2 linked regions of the Drosophila melanogaster genome follow. The protein of the gene in region 2 interacts with the protein of the main gene of each other region in a pairwise test. Each region holds a gene or a part of one and is shown on either strand. Other genes may lie near its edges.

What was found.
Region 1: the proteins of Ubc4 (region 2) and CG32847 interact in a two-hybrid assay, tested with the Drosophila melanogaster proteins (one large-scale study listed by BioGRID).

The regions. Positions count from the first base shown.
Region 1 is NT_037436.4:15,119,435-15,122,808, forward strand, and holds CG32847 (uncharacterized protein), read left to right. Parts: upstream 1-2,137; 5' UTR 2,138-2,187; coding exon 2,188-2,682; 3' UTR 2,683-2,867; downstream 2,868-3,374. Other genes in the region: Cep135 (centrosomal protein 135kDa), read left to right, coding at 1-151, 214-329; CG16959 (uncharacterized protein), read right to left, coding at 779-1,515, 1,630-1,973, 3,190-3,374.
Region 2 is NT_037436.4:9,696,430-9,701,147, reverse strand, and holds Ubc4 (ubiquitin conjugating enzyme 4), read right to left. Parts: upstream 2,813-4,718; 5' UTR 2,456-2,812; coding exon 2,393-2,455; intron 2,183-2,392; coding exon 2,030-2,182; intron 1,803-2,029; coding exon 1,419-1,802; 3' UTR 667-1,418; downstream 1-666. Other genes in the region: CG6761 (uncharacterized protein), read left to right, coding at 1-34, 96-447. UniProt on the Drosophila melanogaster protein: Catalyzes the covalent attachment of ubiquitin to other proteins.

The sequences.
Region 1 (3,374 bases), 5.4 Mb from region 2:
CGAGCGTCAACGACAGTCGGCGGATGTTCGGGCCAGCACCTTGGACTCCAGTCGGGAATCCAATCGCAGCGAGGTTACCCAACTCCGCATGGACTTAGGAGCTCTGCGGCAGACCTATATATCGTTAGAACACGAGAAGGATACGCTTCTGGTAACTTCATTTAATAATATATTTTCTAGAGATATTAACAATATTGTTATTTGCTTCACTAGCATCAATTGGATACCAAAACTGAGCGGGTATACAAACTGGAGTATGAGCTAAAGGATTGCAAAGAAAAACGGAATGCCCTAGAGCAGAATGTGAAGGACCTGGAGGATCAATTGCGGTAAGTGTGAGAATTGTTTAGTTTGTGCTTCAGAACCCGATACCAAAGAGTTTCAGAATAATTGACCTATTTACAACTCAATTTTTCTGCTAAAATGAAAAATATGTTATATTTCATTTCTAGACTCTATATTGTTAGTCTTTCAAATTCTTTTATTTCCCTTATCGTGATTTTCCTTAAATACAACTCGTACATTAGTCGATGTAATACATTAATGGCACTGTCTCATCCTATCGAACACGTTAACCGAATATTTCTAAAAACCACCTAAAAGAGAACAAAATGGTTAATTGAATAACAAATGATCGCATCGATCAATAAACACTGAGCATGCAAACACAAAAACAAAGGGTAATGGAGGTAATATAGGGTAAATTAGGTGGGCATGCGGTGAAAGAAGAATAAAAGTCATCACAACCGGACAGAAAATAGCTTGAAGATTGGGGATTTTAGGTGGTCCCACCAAGGTGCAGATCATTGAGAAACTTCGAGTTGAGTCGCTCGTTGGTTAAATACCTCGCCAGGCTGACACTTGGAGCGCTGCAGTTGCTCATGCCGCGTTGATCCGACTCCGAGGGCGTATAACCCGGTCGGCAGACGCACTTGGCCCGACTGGCGTGGACCAAAATTGAGGTGCCATTCGTGGTTTGCGATTTCAGTGGCTCTAGCCACTGACCCGCGCCGCAGGGTCCTCGGCTATACAGCTTGTGGCACTGCCCATTGATCTCCACCATTCCGGGCGTGGACTCGCATATATTCTGTTCCTTATCCGCTCCATCTCCCGTGCACTGCTGATCCAGATTGGTGAGGACACCGGAACAACCGCACATTCCATTGTAGGAGATGCCATCGATGGATGGCCTGGCGGTGAAGTCGAAGATCACCACCTGATGTAGGGCACACGGGCCTTGAGATCCAATCCTGTAGCAAGAATCTTCCGCTGGGAAGTACAGGCGATTCTTGCCACAGAAGTTGCGCACACAGCTGGTTCCGTTGACCAGGAACTCATTGGGTCCACAGGGACCCCTTGTGTACAGGCGATAGCAGATGCCATCGCTCCAGGGCACATAGCCCTCCTTGCACTGGCACTGGGCACGAGGCAAAAGCTGCAGGGTGCTGCCCGTTGTCTCCTGGACCTCGTCGGGTATGCGAAAGATGTGACCAGGTGGACAGGGGCCAGGAGTGTCTGAAAAATAGGAGAACATTAAATACGATATAGGAGAAAATTATGTTGAGATAGAATTTCAACATTTCCAAGGCGGTAATTGCAAATTAACGGGCTATGTAATCCCAATCCTACCCAGCTCATAGCACATTTGATGCGGAGCATGATAGTGCGGCAAGTGCCGCTGGCAGTCGCATCGACCGCCGGGCAAGAAGATGTGACCCGGCGTCGAGCAGGGTCCTTTGGTGTAGTGCTCATAGCAAGACTCCTCTGCCGGATAGTAGAACGAGGCCAAGTCGCCCACATCCTCGCAACGGCACTCGGCCAGTCCCTCCTCGTTGCGAACGAGGAGTTTACCCCGGCTGCATGGACCCTTTGCATGCCTCGCATAGCACTTGTTGTCCCTCGGCCAGAAGAGCATGTCCTCCGGGCAATGCAGCGGTCGCTTGCACGTACCCCAACGGTTGCCGGTTGCGGTTCTGGAAAGGATTTGCCTATAGTTTAGTTAACTTTTAAACATTTAATTGATATATACGGCACACATCATCCTATATCAATGATCGCCTTGAAGTGAGAAAGTCTGATAGATAATTGTTGATATCACATGAACTGTTAAGATTACTTCATTTTATTTTGAGAAGACATTAGACTTAAACAAAATTACCTGCGCTAGAAACACACACATCGGAAACAATGTCGGCTGATACTTTCGTAATGGACACCAAGGATGAATCGTTCTACGAGTGTAACATATGTCTAGACACCGCCCAGAATGCCGTGGTCAGCATGTGTGGCCATTTGTTTTGCTGGCCATGTCTGTACCAATGGATATTGACGAAACCCGATCACACAGTGTGTCCCGTTTGCAAGTCGGGCGTGGATAGGAGCAAAGTAATACCGGTGTACGCACGAAATGATAAAAGGCAGGAGGATCCGCGGGATAAAACACCGCCGCGTCCAACTGGAATTTGGTCGGATTACGCAAATGATCTCGAGTTGGGACTATTTTCGTACTTGCTTTTTGGTTTATTCTTTCCATATGGTGCCCTATCATCTTATCTGGATATGGACGAGCCACTCAATCCTGCTGCTGATCACGGCATAAGGGATGGGCAGAACGAAACACTCCTTTCTAAGTTCTTTCTCTACGTGGCCATTATGCTCATTATTTATATGATTGTAATTTAGCAAGAATAGGAATAAGATCAAAATAAACCATGATGGTGCAAATGAATCAGTATAACCGGGAAGATGTCGTCCTTTACAAATTATGTTCAGTGAAGTTTTCGGATAATTAGTCATTAATCTTTTTAGTATTGTGTAGCATTATGTAAAACAAATGTAATGAAAAGTAAATATTCAAATGCACTAGGAAACAAAACTGCATTTCATGTTTTAAACACGACAGGTTGTGTCGTAAAAGTAAAAACTGTATGTGAATGTACATACATAGGTTCTTGATGAACTTTCGTTATGCATAAAAACGAGATATCAAAGTAGAATGCTTCCGTTATTGCTTAAGTGCACCAGAACTTTCTCTTAACTCTTGATTAATGTTGAAACCCGAGTTTCGCAATCGAAATCAAAAGTTTCATACGACTAGAGAACAACCTGTAAACCTTCAGTGAAGTGAAAATGCGAACATGGCAGTTGCTTAATTCAAATAGTTTGAGCTAAGAACCGAACTCAACTCACCTCTTGACCTGATCCGGCACGGGTTGGAAGTACTCCTCGGGTTGGCAGGGTCCCCGTTCGTATAGCTTGTAGCACACATTATCGTGAAGCGGACTGAGTGCAGTTCCCGGAGGGCAGCGGCACTCGGCTGCAGGTGCATCCTTACGCTTGGCACTCACTGCGGTGGGACTGAGCTCCATGGTGGC
Region 2 (4,718 bases):
CAAGGAAAACTAGAGGCAAAAAATCACGAAAGCGGTAAGGATTTTGAAATATTGAATGTATATGAAATAATAATTACCTGGAACTGTTTGGCCAGTCCCACCGATGTGTCGGGTCGTTTTTGGTCCGGCGAGTTGTCAGCGCGCAGCAACCAGGATCATCAGCGCGACTTCGAGGAGAAGATCATGAAACAGGTCGCCAATTATGTGACCAAAAAGACCGGAACGGATCAGTGTCTGGTGCAGAATGCCCAACCGCTTGGTGGCTCCTACGTGCGACTCGAGTCCGAATGGAAGGAGATGCTCAAGCAACGTCACAGCCATCACACGATCCAGGGAACCAATGCCACTGGCACATCCGTGGCTCAAAGCAACAGCAGCTGCCTGGGATCCGCACTTGCAACTGGTGGCTCCTCCGTGTCCGTCATGTCCAAGCAAAAGCACAAGTAGAAATTCGTATTATATGTGTGAAGTCATTAACTTATTGGATTCGCCAGCAAGCATCGTAGACCAAATATTTAGTGACAGATTATTAGTCAAATATTTAGTGCAAACCATAAATATTCACATTGAAATGTAGAAAAATTAAATGAATATGTAGAAGAATATATATATAAATGATTATATCTGGATGATATCGATGGGTTCTATTTTACTTTCACGTTTTGTGCAATTATTTGGTTTGTAAATCACCAAGAATTTGGATTTTATTTCAATTTTGGCATTAGACAGAGCCTTAAAAAATGGATTAAACAAGAATTATAGTAATATACATTACATATCTCAATCAATCTAGGGTAAATTACATTTTCCATTCTTCAGTCTAGGCATGATTTACAAAAATCTATTTTAAGTTTGCAGCCTCTTCTTCACAAACCGAAATCATAACTTCTCATTAGACATTTATTAATATTTTTATTTATTTATTTATTAACTTAACGCAATTTACAAAGACTTCGATTTGTTATACACTCCTCGCCTTCACATTTATTTTGTTTTGTAAATCATTTTTGTTTGTGTTTTAGTTTAAGCTTGAAATGGAAAACAACAGTACTGTTTAAGAAAGAGCCTGCAAGTAAATGCGACTGCACGTAAATTAATGAAACAGAACCTGGGTTCAATTACATAACACCACATGCTCAATGGGGCGCGGGCATGGCCTTTGGCTCAACCTTCTGGTGACCCACCCAGCGGCAAAGATGTGCACATTAATCATAATAAAATTATAGAACAGATCAGAGAATTATTATAACTACAGGGCAATGTAATTTCGTGGATAAGATTTACGAAAATATATTGGTGCGTGAGTGTACAAGAATTTAGCGTGATTGCCGTTCTGAAGGATTGATGCTGAAGTTGGCCGGTGTTCTTGGTGCTGCCACCGCCGCGAATGGTACTGATGCTAGTGCGGCTGGGACAAGCTAACTGAACAGGCCCTCGGTGGCCTTCTCCAAATTCCAATTCTCCTTGGAGAGCACGGCGCGCGCCTCATGCTCGTCGATGCCCATGTCCCTGAGACGTTGGATCTTTGAATCACAATCGGGAAAGGTGTGCGGTCCGCCCGCATACGCGTTGGTCCAGTGCTTGGCCGTAAGCAGGAACAGATCGTACTTGTCCTTAAACTGATAGGCCACCACTGCGTCCTGTGGATCGTCCGGCTCTGCGGCGGCCAGGAGCGCCTGCAGCGACAGCAGTACGGTGCGCAGTGTCATCGCTGCAGCCCAGTTGTCCTTTAAGATGTCCAAGCAAATCGCACCCGTAACCGACGATATATTCGGATGCCAGATGCGCGTTATGAAGCGTACCTGCGAAGAAGTTTGCAATTTATTTAGGTTTCAATTACAAGTTACAGGTTCTTATTGCGCCTTTCAGAATTCAAGTTAACATTGTGGATTCATAGAAGTGTCACTTTCTACGAAGTGAAGTCATAAGATACGATTTTTGAAAGATGAGGTGTACTCATGTAAGAGTTGTTTATTTCTAAGCTAGCATATTGTATAGGTGCACAAAGTCTGACATGGCTATTACGTACCTTTGGTGGATTGAAGGGATATGTCTCGGGCACCTTGATCTCCAGGACGAACTTGCCGCCCTCGTAGGGCGTGTCAGGCGGACCGGCGATCTCGCCGCGCAGCTCCGTCCAACTGTCATTGACCAGTTCGATTTTGATGGAACACTGGACGATCTGTTCAGGGATTACAAGCCAAATTAACAAATCAGTGGGGCCAATGTTTACATTTCACAAAGAAAACGGAGCCCATAAGCGCGCCAAAAACGCCACCAACGTTCGCGGACACCCTCCCCCGCCCCCTGCACCACGACCAGGGGCGGTGGTGCAGCTGGCATTGCCGAGGTGCCGTTTGAGTGTCCTTCGGCCTTGGAGCTCGGGACTCACCTCCTCGCTGCGCATCACCTCCTTGAACTCCCGCTTGATCCGCGACACTGCCATGTTCGCCATGATGTTTCCTCCGTTTCTCGGACTCTCCTTTCTGCTCTCTCCCTGTTCCCTGTTCACCGTTCTCCTTTCTCCGCCGCTCCTCTTCACCACGCTCTTCTTGCTGTGTTCTGTTCTGCCTCTGTTTTTATTGTTGCCCCCCCGTGCAATTTTGGATTTTGTGAGTGTTGTGCGTTGCGTAAATTACGCCTGGCTGTTGGCCTACAAGGTTGCTCCTTTCGATCGCTTTTCGAATTGTCGAAGCAACGAGCTCGACCAGCGCACGGAAAATAAAAAACTTATTATTCCAATTTCAACACGAATCTGACTTTTTACAGCGCTCAGCACGTCTATTTTGCCAGCGCTATTTCTTTTTTGTTTTTCCGTAGTGTGACCGCCGCGGTGCATTCGGATAATTCTGAAAGCTCGCCTATCGATTGACGTATCGATAGGGCTTCGGGGAAAGAGCGCGAAAATTGCTAACGAAGTTCGAATGTTCAAATGTTTAGCATATGAATAAATAACTATTACATAGGGACGTAATGAATTGGTGCTACTTGCTGCGAGCCATATATTGCCTAGATACGCCCTTAATACTACCCAGGTACACCCACTTCACTCAACTCATAACTATTTAATCATATTAAAACCTATTAAACATTTTAAGGAGGAGTCTTCTTCTTAACATTGGTCCTCCAATTATGTCCACTGGATGACATGATGACTTTGTTTCCCTGAAGGCGACATATCAGAATCTGGGAATCTTAACCGACACATTTTCCTAACTCGTTTCGATAATACAAATGAAAAGAAACAAAAGCAAAATCTACATAAAAATAACCATATTTACAAACTACTTTCCTAATAAATTCAGCTAAGCCCCATACACGAAGTACTCATTCTTACCTCTTTGTTGATAAAATCTATTTACGTTACAATGATTGGCTGAATCAATTCCAAAGTTGGTTTTTGTACCATTGGATAAAAAAGCCGCAGCTTTTCCTTGGCACACGTCAAAGGTTATTTTCCATTGCGTCTCTGATCTTGAATACTGAATACATGGCCTTATTATATAATCGAAGTTCTTTTGACCTCAGTAATATGGTTCCATTACGCTCGCCCGCCTTGTCTGCGGTCGGAAATTTGAAACTTGTTTTGCGCCCCATAAACAAAAACAAGAAGTTTAATCTTCTAAGGCGTAGGTCTCTCTTGGCAACAGTCCAAAAATAATAGACAGCCATTAATTATGCGCCATACGATCCTGTGTTTATAATGGTTATACTTGGAAAAGGGGTACACGAAGTGTTACTTTATTCACATTGCAATTTTAAATCAATATGAGAGAACTTTACCTAAAAAATTTTTAAGTGATAAACAATTAAGTGGATTACATTTTCAGCAAACTCTTATTAATAAGTTGAATGTTAACAAAATAAAAATATGATCAAAAAAATTAGAGGGCATATTTCATACCTGAAAAATCATTAAAGTCGACATTCTCTTTTACTGCTCAAATTCACGTTTCGCACAGCTCAATGGCGATCGAGAAAAAAACGTGTCAGCAAAAGCGTGTGGGGAAGTTTTGAGAGCCAACGCAACAACAGTTTTCGGATAAGAAATATACCCAATAGACATTCGGAGACTAATTAAAACGGAAGAGCTTCTTGCTTCTCCAACTCTTTGGACACACGTGTTTGTGCTCCCCTTTTGTGGCGCTCTTTCGCCACAAAACAAAACGAGTGACCGACACAAACAAATATGCCGGTTCTCTTTTACTCTCCCCGATATTCCCTTTCGAAGCATATGTATTATGACTGTGTGAAGAGGGATGCGTTTCCTACCCCATAAAATAACCAGATAACCAAAAGATACATTTATTGTCTTGTAACGTAAGGGTATCCATGCTTCAGCTTGATTAAATCAACTCTCCTCTGCGTTATCTCTTGCTCTCTCGCACCAAACAACTCCATAAACAGAAACTCAACTTCCCTCGCTTAAATTCAATTCAAAAGCGTTCTGATTCATTCAGCTTTTGCATTTTCTGAGCAGCGGCTGCATCCAAGTGAAATCACAAAGTACAAGTTTTTTTCGACCAACTTGTACAAACCGCATCGTTCAGTGATTAATAGTTTGTAGTTTAAAAGTAATTGCGACACTTTGCTACCTCACATGTTTCAAGTAAGTCCAGTATGGTGTACTACTCGATTTTGAAGTGTGCGTGCCTTTGTTTTCGCCTCGACTCAAAACATGCGTCGCATTCGGCACGTGGTTTTTGCCCCACCAACCC